2 linked regions of the Sus scrofa genome follow. The main gene of each other region encodes a partner of the protein of the gene in region 2 in a complex. Links are inferred from orthologs where the notes say so. Each region holds a gene or a part of one and is shown on either strand. Other genes may lie near its edges. The genes, in order: BCL10 and MALT1.

Region 1 (9,961 bases), on a different chromosome or scaffold from region 2:
GCCCTAGGCCTCTGACACCAAAGGCCTGCCCTTCCTCTGCACACCAACCAGTCTCCTGGGGGAGGCCAGAGGGAACGACGCCTCCCCCAGCTCCCTCATCAATGTCTCAGTCTTGGGGTGCACCTGCCACTGTCCTCAGGGAGTTTGCTCAGGCCCCGCCCACCTCTCCACACCCTCCTCGCCCTTCCTTCCTATAGGCTGGGAGCCGCTAGGGGGGCAGCCCCACCTGGAGTGTCCCCAAATCCCTGAGCTAAAATGTCTAAGCTCCCCAGGCATCATCTCACCAATAAAACCCAGGAGTATCTGGCTCAGAAAGGCCACTTTTTCCCTCAAACTACTTATGGGAAATTTATAGCTCACATCACTTGAAATAGCATGCATTGCTCACCACAGCACCTGGTATCTGGCAGGAAGTGTTAGAATAAATCATTCAGCAGCAGTTGAAGCTCCGCCTACTGAAGCCCTCGGCCCAGTTTGAATACACCCTCTCACGTTGTCTTATCCATCAGAAATGGTTTCCTCCTCCCACCTCTGCATCCCTGTAACAGCTGTCTTTACCGCAGGCGTATCAGTTGTCCCCAGGTCGTGCAGCGAATCATCGGCAAATCTTGAATTCAAGTATTGAGTTGAACAGCGTCTCTTCAAATGTCTGCTGGAACCTCAGAATGGGAGCTTATTTGAAAATATTGTCTTTGCAGATGTAACCAACATCCTACTGGATTTGAGGGGGCCCTAAATCCAATGATTCGCGTCCTTATTAGAGGAAGGACATTTGGAGCTTGAGGCAGAGGAAGAAAACAGGCAGACTGGAGTTATGTGGCCACAGCCACGGGGCGCCAAGGATCGCCAGCGACCACGAGGCTCGAGGAAGAGAAGGAGCAGGCCTCCCTGAGGCCTTCGGAGGGAGCAGGGCTCTGCCCGTTTGGACTTCGAGCCTCTAGAGCCGCGAGCGAAGACGTTTCTGCGGCTTACACACCCTGTTCGCAGCACCTCATCACAGCGGCCCTAGGAAACCACCACACTAGGCTGGGCTGGTCAGATGCCAAGATCCTCATTTGCTGCTGAGAACTCGTGCAAAGGAAATGATAAATTAAAAGAGAAATGGCCATGGAAAACACAGAGGAATACTCGAGGGGAAAGCTTGTTAATCATAATGCAAAACTGGGGCTAACTTGACGTCTCCTTGGGGAAGCGCTCAGGGCGCCCAGCCTGGTCCCAGCGCCGCCCGCTTGGCCGGAGCCGCCGTGGGAGCTCCCGGCTGGTCTCTGCTTCCACACTTACACCTGCAGTCTGCTCTCTGCCCAGCAGCCAGCGTGATTCTTTGAAAAGGAAATGAAATCACTCCCTCTTCCCCCCCCCACCTCCCGTCTCTTCAAAATGGTCTCCCCACCCTCACTGCCAGCAACCCTGTTCTGAGCCACCACCTCCTGGGGACAAAGGCAGTAGCTCCTTGAGGGTCCCCCGTTCCCCTCTTCCTTTCCCTCAAGGCAACAGTGAAAGCGCGCCTTTTTCCAATCATAAATCGGATCGCGCCACTCCTCTGCTCGGCGTCCTCCAGTGGCTTCTTGTCTGACTCAGAGGCTGTCCTGTGACTCAGAGCAGAGATGAAGCACAGCTGCCCTGGACTTGGCCTCCCGTCCCCCTGCTTTTTTCCCCTGGCTGCTCCCTCTGCTTGTCCACATGGCTCTTTCCTTCAGCCCCTTCAAGTGCGACCCAAATCCCCTTCTCAACAGGTCTTCACTCACCATGCCATACCCCCTCAACCTGCTGCCCCGTTTTATATTTTCTGCGTATTTATCATCTTCTAACGTAATAAATAATTTACATAACATTTTTCAAATGTCTGTCTGCCCTGCCCCAAACACACACACACACACACACACACACACACACACACACACGAATTTAAACTCCAGGAGGAAAGGAATTTTTAACTATTTCGTTCATAGCTATTTCCCCAGCACCTAGAACAGTGTCTGGCCCATAGTTGACATTCAACAAATATTTGTGAATGAAAGAACAACTAGTTAAGTGAATTGGGTTAGAAAAAGATGACGGAAGATTAAGCAATCAGAAAAAATACTGTGTATGAATATGGACAAACACACATGATGTAATGTTAAAAGTAAGATCCCTGCCCTGTGATGGAAAAATACATTGATGCGGCCTTGACAACATTGTTGTTTTCTGGTTCTTGTTTTCCCTTCCTTTAAAGGATTCTGGATCCTCAAATTTGTCTTCCGCCCCCTGGTCCGCATTTTTATCTACCCTCTAGCTTCCAAATACCATATACTTTCTTTCTAGTTTATTTACCATGTTGTCCAAACAATCGTCTTGGGCCCTGAGCCCTTTCCGGACTTATCACCCTCGTTACTTTGGATGCACCGTTCTGAGAATCGTATCTGTTCATCAGTCTCCCCCAGAAAGATGGGAGAACTCTTACGGGACTGGGTGTCTAGAATATAGTAGGAAGGACTCAATAAATGTTTGAGCAAGAGCTGAGCACGGACTGTGGGCCCAGACCTCTAAGAACCTCACATCTGTCACGTCATTGAATTGTCACCTGTGAGAGGTAGAAGAGACACATCTTCATCCCTCAGATGAAGAAATAAGGAAATACGTTTATCATAAACAGTGACCAGAAAGTATGCAGAGGTTAAATGAGGTGTTAAAGTGATGGCATTGTAGGCGGTTTTTCTCTTTCAGAAATTCCTTCAATATGAACTGCAGTTAGGCTGTATATGAGTCTCGTGTGCGCGCGCGCGAGCGTCTGTGTGTGACCAAACCATTGTAAAACTTGCGTGGGCAAACAGCAACAGGAAATCGGTGGGCAGGGGCTGGGAGAAGGGGAGGAACACAGCAGCACCGACCAGCAGAGCTCCAGCTGCATCAGAGCCGCCCGCGCGGGCGGCGACCGCCCACAGACCGAGCCGCGCCGGCCCCGCCCACGGAAACGATCCTCTCGGGAGGCCTCCCCCCGCCCCATGCAAACGACCTGGAGGCCGTGGGCGGGGCCACCCTGGAAGGGCTCCGGCCGGGGGCGGGACCAGGCCGGCCGCGGGCTGGCTCCGATTGGCTCTCGGAGAGACGGGACGGGCTCTCCGAGGGCCGGCCTCCCAGAGGGGCGGTCCTGCGCCCCGGCCTCCGCGAGCGCGCAGGAGCCGAGCCCGGAGCTCGGCGTCTAGACGCGTAGGTCTGCGCCGCCGTCGGCCCGGAGGCAGAGCCGGAAGCGCTTGTTTGACCCTCGGTCCCCCTGTTTTCGAGGAGGTAGCCGTCCCCCCACCCTCTCCGCCTCCCCTCCCCACCCCTCCTCGGGAGGCCGAAGCCCCCAGCCTGGGCGGGGCGGCGCAGCCCGAGCGCGGACCCGGAAGGAGCGCCGTCCCCCGCCTCCGCCATGGAGCCCGCCGCGCCGTCCCTGACCGAGGAGGACCTGACCGAAGTGAAGAAGGACGTGAGTAGCACGGCCGGGCCCGGGCGGGCGGGCGGGGCGGGCTGCGTGCCTGCGGGCGACGGGAGCGGAAACCCGGCGGCCCGGCCCGGCCCGGCCCGCAGCTGGGGAGCAGCGCGCGGTGGGAGAAGCGGCAGGTCCGGGCGCCGCGGGAGCCGAGCCGGCATCGCGGGGACCTGGTGGAAGCGGTCCGACCCCTGGTGACCTGTGAACTCGCGTGTTAAATCAATCAAAGCGGGGCTTGGGTTTCTGGAACCTTGTTGGGTGGAGCGCTCCTTCACAGCCTCCGGCCCACTCCCCACCCATCCTCTGGCGCTTCCAGGGGTGGAGCTACGTTGTCGGAAGTCGGCGACTCAAGCTCGTCCTTGAGTCTGAGCCTTGGCTGCTGGCTCTCTCAGCCTGGAGCAAAAGCTGGACCAGGTAAAGCATCCCAAGCAGTGGAGCAAATATGTGAAACTTTGGCAGCGGGGGTTGAGGGAAGCTCAGCAGCTGAAAGCACGAGTCGGAATTCCCCTAGAAAGCAAACGCCCACGTATTTAAATCGGAGGGGCGAGGGGGAGGGGACGGGGGCCGGGGCCCGAAGGCCGAGAATTTATTTACAGGTGAACGCTGGAAACATTCGGTAGCTGCGTTATGCTCCGCTGCTTGGATGCTGCAGAAATGTACAAATCTTAATATTTATTCACCAAGAGTGACTTGTTTCTCTTACCCTTTGCTCTTAGTTGTTTGTTTTGCTTTGTGAGACTTGTATGAGTACCATTAAAATACTTTGTATTAATTCACATTTTAAAAATCAACATGAACTGTGTTCTCGCTTAGCGCCGCAGTGCTGTACAAAACCACCTTTGTGAAGTGGACAGGAAGCAGCTTTTTAAATGTTCCTGTGCTTCCTTTTCCCTCACCTGTGAGGTTTATCACACTGTACCCATAATGCAGAGTCGGTGTGACTCATTAGCAGAAGGACTCTGGTTAAGAGTAGGGCTTGTGCCTTAATTTCCTCCTTCAGCAGATAATTCTGGGGCGCTCACTAGATGGAAAGCACTGTTCCTCGGCCTGGAAAGATACCCAAAAATGACAGGTCCCTGCTTCCCATTCCCGTCAGAACTCGGATGTTGGTAACTACTAAAGAATGAGTGTTGTGCTGTTCAGGATTTGTGCCAGTAAAAGCATGAACTTCAGGAGGCAGGTGCTGCATCGCACGGTTTACAGTGTTCTAGCGTCATCTGTACACCAGCCTCTGAGGGGGATCGCTGTCTTTTCCATTTTACAGTTGACAAAACAGGTAGTGAGAGGTTGCAAGTGGGAGGTTCCAAAACCCGCACACAAACACAGATGTGAAGGGTGACTGCCAGGCCTGTATTTTTTGCCGTCAGCTCATTGACATTCTCCATCTCCAAGATTTCAGTGCACAGCCAGCTCTGAAATTCATAACCTTGGGGAATCATGCACCGGTTTCAGGACAGCTGTGAAAAAAATAGAGCTGCTCATTTTTTTCTTAGAACATTTTTTCACGTGATGGAAATGGTTTATGACCTTAGAAGGTTTAAAATTATCATACATATATTTGGCCTGCCTTCTTTCCCAAATCTAAGTGCTTATTTCCAAATAGTTGCGGGAAATCCAGTTTGATATCCTTCAGATTCCTCACCTTGTCTAAGGTTGATCATTTTATCATCCCTCCCTCAAAGCTGCTTGTTGTTTCTGCTGTTTTCTCTCTTGAAGAATATACAATCATCCCTCTGTAACTATGGAGGACTGGCCGCTGATACTAAAATCCATGGATGGAGTTCCCGTCATGGCTCAGCGGTAACACACCTGACTAGTATCCATGAGGACGCAGGTTCCATCCCTTTCCTCACTCAGTGGATTAAGGATCCGGCGTTGCCGTGAGGTGTGGTGCAGGTTGCAGATGAGACTCGGATTTGGTGTTGCCGTGGTGTAGGCCAGGAGCTACAGTGCAGATTTGACCCTAGCCTGGGAACTTCCATACGCCTCAGGTGATACCCTAAAAAGGCAAAAAAAAAATCCCGTGGATGGGCAAGTCCCTGGTAAGCGCTGTCCAGTTAGTCCTCCCAGGGATCGTGCCGTGTATTTATTGGTGATGACCAGTGGGGAATCTGAAGCTAGAGAGGCTGAGGAGCTTGCCCAGCTCCCACAGGAGATCGTGGCAGATGCAGGATTTGCACTGAGGTGGGCCTGGGTCCAGAGCCGTGCTCTTAACTTCTCCACTATTCTGCCATGTGAGAAACTTTATCCTTTAAGTTGCGGTGGAACACAGTGTTTCACATTTTTTAAAAATTAACAGCATTTCAATCTTAGTAGAATTCATCTCACACTCCAGATTTCCATTTTTTTTTCTTGAGCAATGAGACGTCTGATGATGTGTGGGGAGGAATTTGAGGGCTGTGGGGAGAGAAGGAAGAGGTACAGCGAGGTGTCTTGTTAGCAGTCCAGGCAGAGTACAGGGGACCAGAACTAGGACGGTGCTAGGGCTCGGGAGGGAGAGGGGGCAGATGAGAGAAGTGTCGAGGGCGGACTGGTGGGACTTGGAGGAAGGGTGATCCAGTGTGGCAAGCGAGTGAAAGGGGAAAAGCCCAGGACGAGTTGTCGGGGTGTATCGCGCGTCTGGACGGATGGCGGCCCTCCCAGGGGAGCCGAGAGCGTCCGAGGAAAAGGATGGGGACGCAGATGCGGCTTGGGGCGTGTTGAGTTTGAAGTACTGCCGGCATCTCTAGGTGGAGAGAGTCTTGATCATAGGCATTTTCAGGAGTCATCCACGCACAGGGGTTGGAAATTGCAGCAGTTGAGCTTTTCCAAGGAGACGGTCTTTTTAAGTCTGTGTTTCTCATTTGTTATCCCCACAGCTTAAATTCTCGCACTCAGCACATCCTGGGTAAGAGAGTTCAGCAGTCTTCTCATGTCTCCTTTGACCCGTTTTTGTTTCTCCCAATCGTCTGTAAAAGTCTTCTTTTCGCCTCTTATTTATAAACCTTTGATGAGGTCCCCCCGCCACTGCATTCCTTTTATGCTTCTAGCTCAGGCTTAGCCTCGATCAATTTCCCAGGTCCTGGAGGCAGAGTCAGTTGCCTGCTCTCTGCATCCCCAGTACTTGACCTGTAACTTTTTTCCAAGTTGTATCTCATTGTCTCCTGATCATTAGCTTGAGTTGATCATGTATTCTTCAGCTAGACCATGTGTCCTTTGAATGCAGGATTCAAGTCTTGTGCGTCTTTGCATGTCTTCGGCTCAGCATGTGGCATATTAGGCATTTAGATATGTGAAGTGTTTGTTGTGTGAATAAATAAATGAATACGGGAGTTGAGTGAACTGAGAACCAGGGGAGCCTTCACCTGATCTGCTTTTCTGCCACTGTGTTCTAGAGTACTTCAGAGAGTTTCCATTGCCTTTAGCTCATCATTGTCAGTGTGAGTCAAATTAGTCGTCATCGTCCTCATCACTAGCATTTATTCATCACTTACTATGTACCAGGCACTTTTCCAAGTACTCTGCATGTGTTAACTTATTCCTCATAACCCTCAGCTGAGGACACTGAGGCACAGAGGAGTTAAGGTCCTCACCCAAGATCCCATATCTTGTACATGGAGGAGCTGCAATATAGTCGCTCACATTGAATTATTAATGCCATTTAGGAGTTGCCTGGTGGTTCAGTGGGGTAAAGATCCGCTGTTATCACTGCTGTGGTGCAAGTTCAATCTCTGGCCTGGGAACTTTTTTTTTTTTGTCTCTTGTATTTTGAGGGCTGCACCTGTGGCATATGGAGGTTCCCAGGCTAGGGGTCTAATCGGAGCTGCAGCTGCCAGCCTGCACCACAGCAACACGGGATCTGAGCTGCGTCTGCAACCTACACCACAGCTCACGGCACCACCAGATCCTTAACCCACTGAGTGAGGCCAGGGATTGAACCCTCAACTCATGGATCCTAGTTGGATTCGTTAATCACTGAACCACGACAGGATCTTCTGGCCTGAGAACTTTTACGTGCCACAGAGGTGACCAAAAAAAAATTATTGGGACCTATTTTGATTTTCGGCTAATTAAGCCTCCTTAGGCACTTCTCTGGTGTAGACCTATTTATGTGTATTTTTCCAAAATCCACTCGTTTCTGTATTTCTTTAGTTTTTTCCAATATCCGCTATTCCTTTAGGTTCCTCCCTGTGCATGCACACGCACGCGCACACACACACACACACACACACACGCACACACACCCATTCTTCCCCCCTTCTACCAAGACTGAGTTTGATTATAGTCTTTCCAACTAACTCCACAGAGAGATACATTATGGGCCCTTTTAATTTAGGTCCTTTCTTGCTTTCTTGATTCCTTTCATGGTTTTACTCTAGGAAGGTAGAAAATTAATAACGTGAGAAAGTTAGAGACGTGACTCCTCTCGCTCAGTTACCTCTGTGGTCTTGACCAATCCAGAGGCCTTGCTGAGTGGTAGCTACCCGGTCCAGTGACCTCTCCCCTCGTCTGCTCCTGAAGGCCCTGGGCACGCCTCCCTCTGTCCGCAGACTCAAGCCCCCGCTTAGACCTGCCCGTCCTCGCAGTAGTTTCCTCCTGGCTTGTAGGTGGGAAGCTGAGACCAGAGCAGGACACATCAGTGACGAATATCTTGGCTGGGACCTGATTCTGTCTCCCTGGACCTTCATCTGATAGTAAAGCCCTCTCGGAGGCCTGAGCATCCTGCCTTCAGGATGCTCTCTCACCAGTTCAGATTCCTGACTGGTAATCAATCACCTATGCGATTTCCTTATGTGTTAAAAAAAAATGCATTGAGGTGTATTTTATGTCTTTCAGGCTTTAGAAAATTTGCGTGTGTACCTGTGTGAAAAAATCATAGCTGAGAGACATTTTGATCATTTACGTGCAAAAAAAATACTCAGTAGAGAAGACACCGAAGAAATTTCCTGCCGAACATCAAGTAGAAAAAGGGCTGGAAAATTGTTAGACTACTTACAAGAAAACCCCAAAGGACTGGATACCCTGGTCGAATCTATTCGGCGAGAAAAAACACAGAACTTTCTGATACAGAAGATTACAGATGAAGTACTGAAACTTAGAAATATAAAACTAGAACACCTGAAAGGTAAGGTATCTCAGAGATCCAGGAGATCACTTAAATGCAGCCACGCTTTTGATTTTTTTTTTTTTTTTTTGTCTTTTCTCCTTTTAGGGCTGCACCCACAGCATGTGGAGGTTCCCAGGCCAGGGGTCTAATCAGAGCTACAGCTGCCAGTCTACACCATAGCCACAGCAACGCCAGATCCGAGCCATGTCTGCGACCTACACCACAGCTCACGGCAACGCCGGATCCTTAACCCACGGAGCAAGGCCAGGGATTGAACCCGCAACCTCATGGTTCCTGGTCGGATTCGTTTCCACTGCACCACGATAGGAACTCCAGCAACGCTTTTGAAAGTAGAAGGCAAAACAAGATAAAAAGCCCAAAAATGATGATTTTGCTTTTATTCAAACAATTGAAGCTTCAGCGTTACATTTGATTTGCACGTTTTTGCCTTATTTGATGTCATTACATTGCAAAAGTGGAATATCACTCAGTGTTCTGTGTTTATGTCCCTTTAACAATATCGTTTAGAGAAAACCTAACTCTGGTGAAATCCCAGTACACACGGGGGTTCGTCTCTCAAGTCAGCAGAGAATGTAAGACTAAGGTGTTGCAAGTCCTCTCCGAACATGCGTACTGACCCAGAGAGCAGCCCGTCGGTGTCGACCTCTGGCAGACTCGGTGGTTTTTCCTCCTTCGAGATGAAGCACTTGGCTTCTGTGACTAAGAGTCAAATTATCCATAACTTGGAACACTAGAATCGCACTCAGTTGGGCGAGATGAGAGAAGCATGAAACAGACAAGGACAAAGGGAGTAGCAGATTCACTGCTTCCAGTTCACGCTCACCCCAGAGCACACGCTCATGGGCGCGCTGTGTAGACTCGTCTGCGCGACTTAAAGCCCCCTTTCTCTCCAGACCACCCACGCTCATGGGCGCAGTGTGTAGACTCGTCTGCGCGACTTAAAGCCCCCTTTCTCTCCAGACCACCCGGCCTGTCTCGTCTTTCTCTGCGGAGCACTTGGGGTAGAGGTGCCTGTGATCAGCTCCCTTCCAGCTGTCCCAGGGCTGGGAAACTGGAAATGAGCCTTCGGGCTTTGCCCGTGAGGGACGCATCCGTGTGCTGGAACACAGCCCAAGTGTCCCCTAAGCTGGACTTCAGAAAATAGTTTCTCTTGCGTGGAACAGAAATGCTGACTGTATTGTGAGGTTGAAAAACTGGTGGAAAAAGTGACAAACAAATGTACTTTGTAGACTCCGCAGGTTTTTACATAACACTTGTCGCCTCAGGAAGTTGCGTGTCTGCAGACAGTTGGGTTGACTCTTTGCTAAGCCTGACAAAGGTACATTGTGCTGTGTTTAGTCTCTCTACCCTCAGGTTAGCTGTTGGCTCTGCCCTTTGGATACGACGAAGTTCAGTCAGCA
Region 2 (9,398 bases):
AAATCTTAAAGAACAGACTATTATGAAAAGAAAGATATTATACAGGAGTTCAACAAATGCAATTTTCAGTTATCTGTTTAATTAACCACAGCATAGATATTTGGGATTCACAGAAAATTCAAAAACCATTATTTCAATCAATAATTTTAACTTATTTTTTTCACTAAATCACATAGAATTACCAAAGGTAATTAGGTGAGGCAGAAATCACCTGCAACTTTTCTCTTTGCTCACTGACACATGGATTCAAGTGTCTAGGAGACAGAATGGTCAGTTATGCTCAGTAATACTTACAAGCACACAGTATCTGCTGACCATCCTGCTTGTGTCTTACATGTGACTTCATTCAATATCAACAACTCTATCAGGTAAGTACTATTTTTTTGTCTGCATTTTACAGATAACATGTTTATCAAAGAGGGGCCTGTCTGATTTTTGAAATAGCACACATACTTCCACTTCAGCAGCTCATGATATAGAAGAATCTAAGGGACTATATATTAGACAAATAGAAAATTGTTTAAAAAATTTTTAAATGATCATATTTTAATTTTATCCAAAGTAAAAATGGGTTATATTTCCAACATCAAATAAACCAGTGTAGTATCTATAATTGAAATCTTTATTTTTACGGAGTTTTTTAGCCTTGGGTTTACTCAAAAGGCTAAAATTTTCATCACAAAATTAGAAGGAAAGCTGTATGTTCAGAAGCAAAAACACTTCATGATGTAATCTAAACATATTACATTAAAAGCTCAAAAAAAGAGACTTCACTGTACCGTGCGCCTTGGCCCACTGGAGGTTCCGCACCAGGGATTCTGCAGAATGCGCCGTCCCCTGTATCGGGTCAGTGAGTGCTCTCTTTTCAGATAGGCTGCTTCGAATCTCTAGAGCCTGCTTGCCCTTGGTCAGGTGACATTTACCCATATCTAAAAGGTAAGAAGTAAATACTATTTTTAAGACCACGTCCTTTTATTTAAGCTAAGAACTCCTCCAAATCAGGTTATATTTTCAGCATCACTTACTCAGTCCACAGATATTTACCAAGCACCTAATATGTGCCAGACATGGTTCAAAGGGCTAGGGATATGGTAAATACTGGACCAGTTCTCTTTTAAAGGTCCCCTTCTTGCTTTTATCTTTTCTAATTCTATTAATCCCTAATAGTCTAAGCTTTGAAATTCATAAAGCTGCACCTATGGCATGTAGAAATTCCCAGGCCAGGGACCAAACATGTGCCACAGTGTGACCCCAGCCGCTGCAGTGACAGTGCTGGATCCTTAACCTGCTGTGTCATAAGGGAACTCCTTTTTTTCTTTTTTTGGTGAAAGTATTTTTTTTTTTTTTAAATGTTATGGCCACACCCACAGAATATGGAAGTTCTTGGGCCAGGGATTGAATCTGAACCTATGCAGTGACCCAAGCCACTGTAGTTAGATTCTCTCTCTTCTTTTCTAATGGCTGCACCTGCAGCAGGCATATGGAATTTCCCGGGCTATGGGCTGAATCACAATTGTAGCTGCAGCTTACACCACAGATATGGCAACACCAGATCTAAGCCTCATCTGCAACCTATGCCGCAGCTTGTGGTAATGCCAGATCCTTAACACACTGAGCAAGGCCAGGGATTGAACCTGCATCCTCACAGAGACAAGGTTAGGTCCCTAACCTGCTTATCCACAACGGGAACTCCTGCAGTCAGATCCTGACGCCGCTGTGCCACAGCAGGAACTCAACATATCTTTTTAAGTTAAAAACAACTAAAATAAAAATGTACATACTTTTTGCAGACATATATAAACTCAATAAAACTATGTAGGAGGCAAATCGATGGAATGATAAACAAGATTCAGAAGAATGGCTGCCACGTAATGGGGGGCAAGGAAATAGAGGGGACATACAATTGGATGTAGATTACTGTCAAGGTCTGAAATTCACGTTGAACATCTAACTGACAATAAAAACCATCAGAAGTATGTTCCAAGGGACTCTGATCACTAAAAACAATTAAATCATTAAATATTTTCTTCCTAGTAGGTCTTGGGAGTTTTATATATAGCAAGATAGTTTTTGGGTACCATACTGCCAGAACTACATAGGAAAGAATTTCTTTTTGCAATTTCAAGCAACTTAACAATACTGCTATCTGGAGTAATACACAGTCAAAATCTGGGGCACAGATTGATAGCTGTGGCCTGAGAACAGCAACAAATTTATTTCATATTTTTGTTTCACTTGCACACATGGCCTATGACCTTTGGGTACTTTTTTCCTGAATACTTTTAAGTTACCCAGAAGATCCAAAGCTCAAATATATAATAAAATAAAAGAAAAATCCAGAAGTTCAAATATAAACTCAGAGCACATACTGGGATGCCATCCATTTCCATGACAACAAAGTATACACCATATATAGGTGAACTGGTGTTTTTAAGTTTTAAAATAGTATAAAAGACTAGAATTAGAATAAAACATTTTTTACGACTAGAATAAAACATTTTAAGTCTTTGAAGCACCTTCACATCTCACTCTGAAAATAACTGACATATTCTAAAGGCTGTAATATTTTTGTTAAGCACCAGTACTTTTTCTTCAAATGAGATTCTTAAATAGAAGCCCACACAATATGTAAAGCAGATAAAAGCAGAACTTCTTTGAAGACGGGAAGGACAAAGCCTTGGCTGTCTACCTCAAGGGGGAAAATGGTTAAGTCAAGTGATCCAGCTAAGGGATCTACACTGACAGAAGCATGAAAATAAACGAAAAGTGACTAACAGCGGGTCGTAAAACACTCAGAGACCATATACTCAAGCTCCATCTTTGGAACAGCCATAAAACTCCATTTTCTAGTGAGCCAGGCTGCAAAAGAATTGCCTTCTTTTTGATATGATTTATAAAATGACACGAAAAAAACACGTCAGGCTACAGCTGTAACATGTACTTATTCAGTGCCTGACATGAGCACAGAACTACACCAGGCAGAGAAGGATGGAACGGAAGGAACTGGAGGATGCGGTGTTAGGCTTCTAGGATTGTGTCCGTGAAGCAGAATTTTAAAACTGCCTAGTTCATCAAGGGAAAAAAGAAACCAGCTTTTTCCCACAGGGCCTCAGAATTTCTGTACAGTTTCCTCTGATTCTGAAAGATGCTTTTTTTTGAAAATAAGCTCTGAGGATTAAGCTTCATTTGTTTCATAACTGTGTCCCGGGTCAGCCTCATATTGTAGCTGAAGTAATTCTACACAGATGGTATGTAACTAAGCCAATAGGGAAGGAAGGAAACAGGAATGTCGTGAACATTATATAAAAGTTGTTTTATGAAATAAAAACTAATTCCAAACCCACATAGTAATAGCAGGAATAAAATAATTATCCAACAGAGAACCCTGAGTAGCTTTCCCTTTAGTTTTTATTTTACCTTCTGCAACTTCATCCAGTAACACAGTAATTTTCTTTTCTTCTAATAATCTGTCTTTTAAAAATTTCATGAAGATTCCATTTGCCAATCCAGAATGCTGTATTTCAAAAGCTTCTGCTCCTTGACACCTGAAAAGAAAGACATTTAAAAAGCAAATGCTTGTTATGTGTGGCTTCTGCAAATACTGATGAGCCTCATTTATTCCCCTGCCTCTTGCATGACATCCTAACTAAATAGTTAATCTTTAAGCAGGAACCAAATGCTCTGGTATTTGGTAAGAAGATGCCAAGATATGAAGTGCTTGGTCAATTGTTTAGAATTTTCTATCAAGAATGTGGAGTTCCCACTGTGGCTCAGTGGTTAACAAATCCAACTAGGAACCATGGGGTTTTGGGTTTGATCCCTGGCCACGCTCAGTGGGTTGAGGATCCAGCATTGAGGTGAGCTGTGTGTAGGTCACAGACATGGATCAGATCTGGTGTTGCTGTGGCTGTGGAGTAGGCCAGTAGCTGCAGCTCCAATTAGACCCCTAGCCTGGGAACCTCCATGTGCCATGTGTGCAGCCCTAGAAAAGACAAAAAAAAAAAAAGGAATATCAAGGAGACAAATTAATGCCTAGACGTCTATGGATATTTCCAGGCTTCTACTCTGCAGTCACCAAAGAAGTCATCAAAGAATGAAGGAATCTTCAACATAAACATGACGTTTTCTTACGTGGCATATCCAAACACAATATTGGCAGTGACTTTTAGTGCATCCAAGATTGGAATGGTATCATCATAGTCATTTCTATTTAAAAGGAAGGAGAGAAAGATGTAAACATGAAAAGTTAAAACAGCATTCTTAAAAGAGCATAAATAATGAAAAATATATGATACTGTTATATTCCACATAATTTTAAATTTATACGTTCAAAATTCCTTTATCTAGTTAGTATATTTACCAGAAAAAAATCCAGGGTCCCTACATTGTTGAGAGGGCAGAGAATCCTTTTTTCTTATTAGTTTTAGAAGTGGAGTTACATTTGAACTTGGGCATTGGATTTTTTTGTTTTTTTTTTTTTTTTTTTTTGGCATTGGGTTTTGATTGGTAAAAGCTGAACAAGCAAACTGTAAATATGAGTAGAATCATCATTGGTTCTATTCCTGCATAACACAGCGGCAGACCAATGGAATCCAAATCGTCAAACATATGGGTCAGCTAAACTTCCTATGTCTGCAAGACCAGGACTAACTAACTAGAGTGACTAGAGGCCCCCACTCTGTGGGTGCTGTTTCTGCTAATTCCTGGAGGAACAACTGCAGTGATTATTGGAGACATCCAAAGGCATTCTGAGGAGCTGCATCTTTTCTCGTATGAGTAAATACCCACGCCCTTTCGTCCATCACTTTTGCTCTAGAGCAGGTATACACAGAAAAAAAATACATTTTCCTCTAACTTTCTTCTTAATCAGTTTCAGTCTATAATCTAAAATTCACAAACTTCAGTGGTTCCTTGCCCAGGTTTGCCTTAGATCTACCTTGTCAGGGTTGATATTTAACTAACATGAGACAGCTTCGCTATATAAAGACTGGACAGCCTACCTTTTCCTGCACATATCCAACAGGAACACATTGAGTCCCGTTTCTTTTTCTTGCATCAATTTCAATATATTTTGGACGCATAGACAATTTTCAGACCTATATGGATTTGGAGCATCAATAGGGACCATAAAGCTATTCCCAAAGTTTTCATAACCATGTCCCGCATAATATAACAGTCCTGAAAAGCAAAGAAAGAGAAATTGCACTCTGAACATCTAGCACTATGAAAGGAACACCACGACTTTTCTTTCCTTTCTTTCTTTCTTTTTTCTTTTTTTTGTCTTTTCACCTTTTCCAGGGCCGCTCCCATAGCATATGGAGGTTTCCAGGCTAGGGGTCTAATCAGAGCTGTAGCCACCGGCTTACGCCACAGCCACAGCAACAAAGGATCCGAGTCGCGTCTGCAACCTACACCACATCTCACAGCAATGCCAGATCCTTAACCCAGTGAGCAAGGGCAGGGATCGAACCCACAACCTCATGGTTCCTAGTCGGATTCGTTAACCACTGCGCCACGATGGGAACTCCGACTTTTATTTTCTTAAAGTTAAATGCAAGCTTATTTACAAGAGATGCAACTATAAACATACTCAATGTTAACTGAATTTGCATTGAAAATTGCCAAAATAGGCAAGTCTTCATTTAAGTACTGAATTTTAAACCAACATCAAGATGCTATCCTGAAGTGTATTTCAATTCATAAAAGTTATACATTTGTTACCACTGGTACAATATGGAATGCAATTTTATCTCATATTTAAAAACAAAAAAGGCTAAGGACTTTTGACACATTTGTCTTCTCTGTAAAATCTTCAGGGCAGTCCTACATTTATCTGTGATTCCTGGTACCAGCAGGAGTTTAGTGAGTATTTAATGGATGAAGGAATAAACAATTAAGATGAATAGCCATAGCAATGTCAGGTGTGAGAAGTTCCATAATATTTTATTATGATATTAGTAAGGGGTATAAAAATATAAAGCAGAGAAGGAAATCTCATTTCATGGCTTGTTATTTCTTTTTGTTATGATATAAATAAATATCATTAACTTTCCACCTGTAATCTGAATTAATCTAAAATTTGGGTTAGTTTTAATGTTCAAAAGATGAGTCATTTCTTTGCTGAGAAATAGTACTAGACAAACTGCACCAAACCACTTGGAACACCTTCTTGAAAAGAAGTTCATTTTGGATGTTAAAAAAAAAAATCAATATGGACCCTCATAAAAAATACTTGATAGAAATACTTGTGAACACTTGATGAAGACACACTCCTCTAAGCATGCAGTGTCTTGAGCCCACTAATTTTGCTCTCAATATTCTGGATATGATGCCTTCTTTATGTGGTATTCTAAAGCAAACAGTAAAAAGGCATTTAGATAGGGGAAACCAACAAAAAAGCTAATTCTTTTTTTTTTTTTTTTTGTCTTTTGTCTCTCTTTGTTGTTGTTGTTGTTGCTATTTCTTGGGCCGCTCCCGCAGCATATGGAGGTTCCCAGGCTAGGGGCTGAATCGGAGCTGTAGCCACCGGCCTACACCAGAGGCACAGCAACGCGGGATCCGAGCCGCATCTGCAACCTACACCACAGCTCACGGCAACGCCGGATCGTTAACCCACTGAGCAAGGGCAGGGATCGAACCCGCAACCTCATGGTTCCTAGTCGGATTCGTTAACCACTGCGCCACGACGGGAACTCCCAAAAAAAAAGCTAATTCTTTATAGTTGCAGCCCCAAGCCCTAGCAAGGTGTCTTTTAAGAGCAAAGAAAACTTGTTTCCTTTGGTCCTAGAGGGCAAGATCCAGGTGGCCTACTTTTCTTGAACTATTATTCAAATGAGAAAAATGATTCTTTGATATGTTCCCATTTTAGGTCAAAAATAACAAAAGTGGACACACCTATTTATTCAGTGTGGGTTTATTCTCCCTCAGGTGAGCCCTGAATATTATCGTGTAGGTAGAGAGGAAAATGAAAAAGAAGTAAAGACAGAGTTCCTGGCCCTGAGGACCTTGCAGCTAATTCATCCCCACTCATGTTAGTGGTTAAACAAAGAGAAGTCGGCGTATTTGTGATGAGGACGACCACTGAATGAGATGAATAAAGTGCAGAGAGGAATGTCAGTGTGAGGTGCAGTGATAACAGGTGGTCTTAAGAGAAAGGGTACAACCTGAAAGGCAGAGCAATAGCAAGGGATGTTATAGTCAGGATGCACAGAAACAAGCAAGGCTTGGACCTGGAATGATCCTGAACAGAAAGGTCGCTGAAAAGAAGTATCCCGGCAAGAAACCGAATCATCACTGTAAATGAAAGTCAGAGTGCACAGATAGGAAGCGTTTTGAAAATCATGGCAAAGGACTGGGATCAATTTGCTAAGCAATGAAGATCAAGTGAAAAGACAACCCACAGAATGGGAGGAAATATTCATCTGTCTCTAAGGACATTAAAAAAGGACAAATCATATATCCATCAAAGGATATTTATATCCTTATTTATACAAATTTATATCCTTATTCACACATATTTATATCCAGAATATATAAAGAACTCTACAATAATAAAACGACAACCCAATTTAAAAATGAGTAAAGAATTTGAATAAATATTTCTTCAAAAAGAATATGTAAGTGGCAAATAAGCACATGACAAGATGCCCAACATCACTGACCATTTGGGAACATGGGATATCACTTCGCATTTACTAGAAGGGCTATAATCAGAAAAGCAATGACAGGAGTTTCCATCCTGGCTCAGGGGAAATGAATCTGACTAGGATCCATAAGGATGCAGGTCTGATCTCTGACCTTGCTGGTTAAGGATCCAGTGTTGCCATGAGCTGTGGTGTAGGTCACAGACTCGCCTCGGATCTGGCATTTATATGGCTGTGGCATAGGCCAGCAGCTTCAGCTCCAATTTGACCCTCAGTCTGAGAACCTCCATATGCCATGGATGGGGCCCTAAAAAGACCAAAAAAAAAAAAAAGTAATGACAGATGTTGACTAGGATGTAGAGAAACTGGAAACCTTATTTATTTCTGGCAGGAATGTGCCATAGTGCAGGTACTTTGGAGTTAGGCAGTTCCTCAAAAAGTGAAACTTAAGGAGTTCCCTCTGTGGCACAGTGGGTTAAGAATCTGACTGGAGCAGCCTGGGTGGCTGTGGAGATGCAGGTTCAATACCCAGCCTGGTGCAGTGGGTTAAAGGATCTGGTGTTGCTACAGCTGTGGCTCCAATTCAGTCCCGGGCCTAGGAACTTCCAGATGCCACAGGCGTGGCTATTAAAAAAAAAAAAGGTGTTCTCGTCATGGTTCAGTGGTTAATGAATCAGACTAGGAACCATGAGGTTGTGGGTTCGATCCCTGGCCTTGCGCAGTGGGTGAAGGATCTGGAGTTGACGTGAACTGTGGTATAGGCTGGTGGCTATAGCTCCGATTCGACCCCTAGCTTGGGAACCTCCCTACGCCGTGGGTGCGGCCCTAGAAAAGACAGAAAGACAAATAAATAAATAAATAAAAAATAATAAAAATAAAAATAAAAAAAAAGGAAAAGAAACAGAATTATATGACCCAGCAGTTCTACTCCAAGGTAAATATGCTAGAGAACTGAGAATGTGTGTCCACAGGAGAATGTGTACATGAACATTCACAGCAGCATTATTCAGAATATCCCCAAAGGGGAAAACACTAAGATGTCCATCTGCTGAGGAATGGATAATCAGAGTGTTCTGTATCCACACAAGATTATCCACTCATAAACATAACACTACAACAGAGATGAACCTTGAACACACTGTGCTGAGGGAAAGAAGCCAGACACAAAAGGACACATATGGAGTAATTCCAGTTATATGAAATGTCCTCAATAGGCATATCCAGAGACAGAAAGTATAGCTGTTGTTGCCAAGAGTTTGGGGAAGGAGAACTGAGGCATTAACTGCTAATGGATATGGGGTTGCATTTTGGGGTGATGAAAACATTCTGGCATTAGGTGGCGGACGCACAACTTTGAACACACTGAAAACCACTAAATTGTATCCTTTAAAAGAGTAAAATTTACACCCTGTCAAGTATTCTATTCCCCATCAGTCTCCTTCCTGCTTCCAGAGCAAGATATCCTTATTTTTAATGCCCAAGACCCTGCTCAAATTTTCATCGCCACTCCATCTACCCAAATCTTCACCGAGGTTCCAGGCTTATCTCAGAATCAGAACCCTGCAGGTTATCATCTGGTCTCCTACTTTCTAACACACATCAGCCTCTCCCTGCTGGGAAATCCTGCAGTAGCACCCTGAGGCTTAAAATCCTATACTGGGAGTTCCTGTCGTGGCGCAGTGCTTAACGAATTCGACTAGGAACCATGAGGTTGCGGGTTCGATCCCTGCCCTTGCTCAGTGGGTTAAGGATCTG

Evidence for each region.
Region 1: the proteins of MALT1 (region 2) and BCL10 are in contact, whole or in part, in a cryo-EM structure (PDB 6GK2), measured with the Homo sapiens proteins. The link is inferred for Sus scrofa from reciprocal best matches to the Homo sapiens genes MALT1 and BCL10. Residues at the interface, in NP_006776.1 of Homo sapiens: Asp46, Gln47, Ala48, Pro49, Trp54, Arg55, Leu74, Glu75, Ser78, Leu79, Val81, Leu82, Glu83, Pro84, Glu85, Gly86, Pro88; in NP_003912.1 of Homo sapiens: Leu13, Lys17, Val83, Arg87, Asn93, Gln97, Thr100, Leu104, Arg107, Asn108, Leu111.

What each region holds. Positions count from the first base shown.
Region 1 is NC_010446.5:130,642,048-130,652,008, forward strand, and holds the start of BCL10 (B-cell lymphoma/leukemia 10), read left to right. Parts: upstream 1-3,379; 5' UTR 3,380-3,394; coding exon 3,395-3,451; intron 3,452-8,269; coding exon 8,270-8,558; intron 8,559-9,961. UniProt on the Homo sapiens protein: Plays a key role in both adaptive and innate immune signaling by bridging CARD domain-containing proteins to immune activation.
Region 2 is NC_010443.5:162,087,373-162,096,770, forward strand, and holds part of MALT1 (mucosa-associated lymphoid tissue lymphoma translocation protein 1), read right to left. Parts: intron 5,179-9,398; coding exon 5,001-5,178; intron 4,207-5,000; coding exon 4,132-4,206; intron 3,546-4,131; coding exon 3,418-3,545; intron 930-3,417; coding exon 780-929; intron 1-779. UniProt on the Homo sapiens protein: Protease that enhances BCL10-induced activation: acts via formation of CBM complexes that channel adaptive and innate immune signaling downstream of CARD domain-containing proteins (CARD9, CARD11 and CARD14) to activate NF-kappa-B and MAP kinase p38 pathways which stimulate expression of genes encoding pro-inflammatory cytokines and chemokines.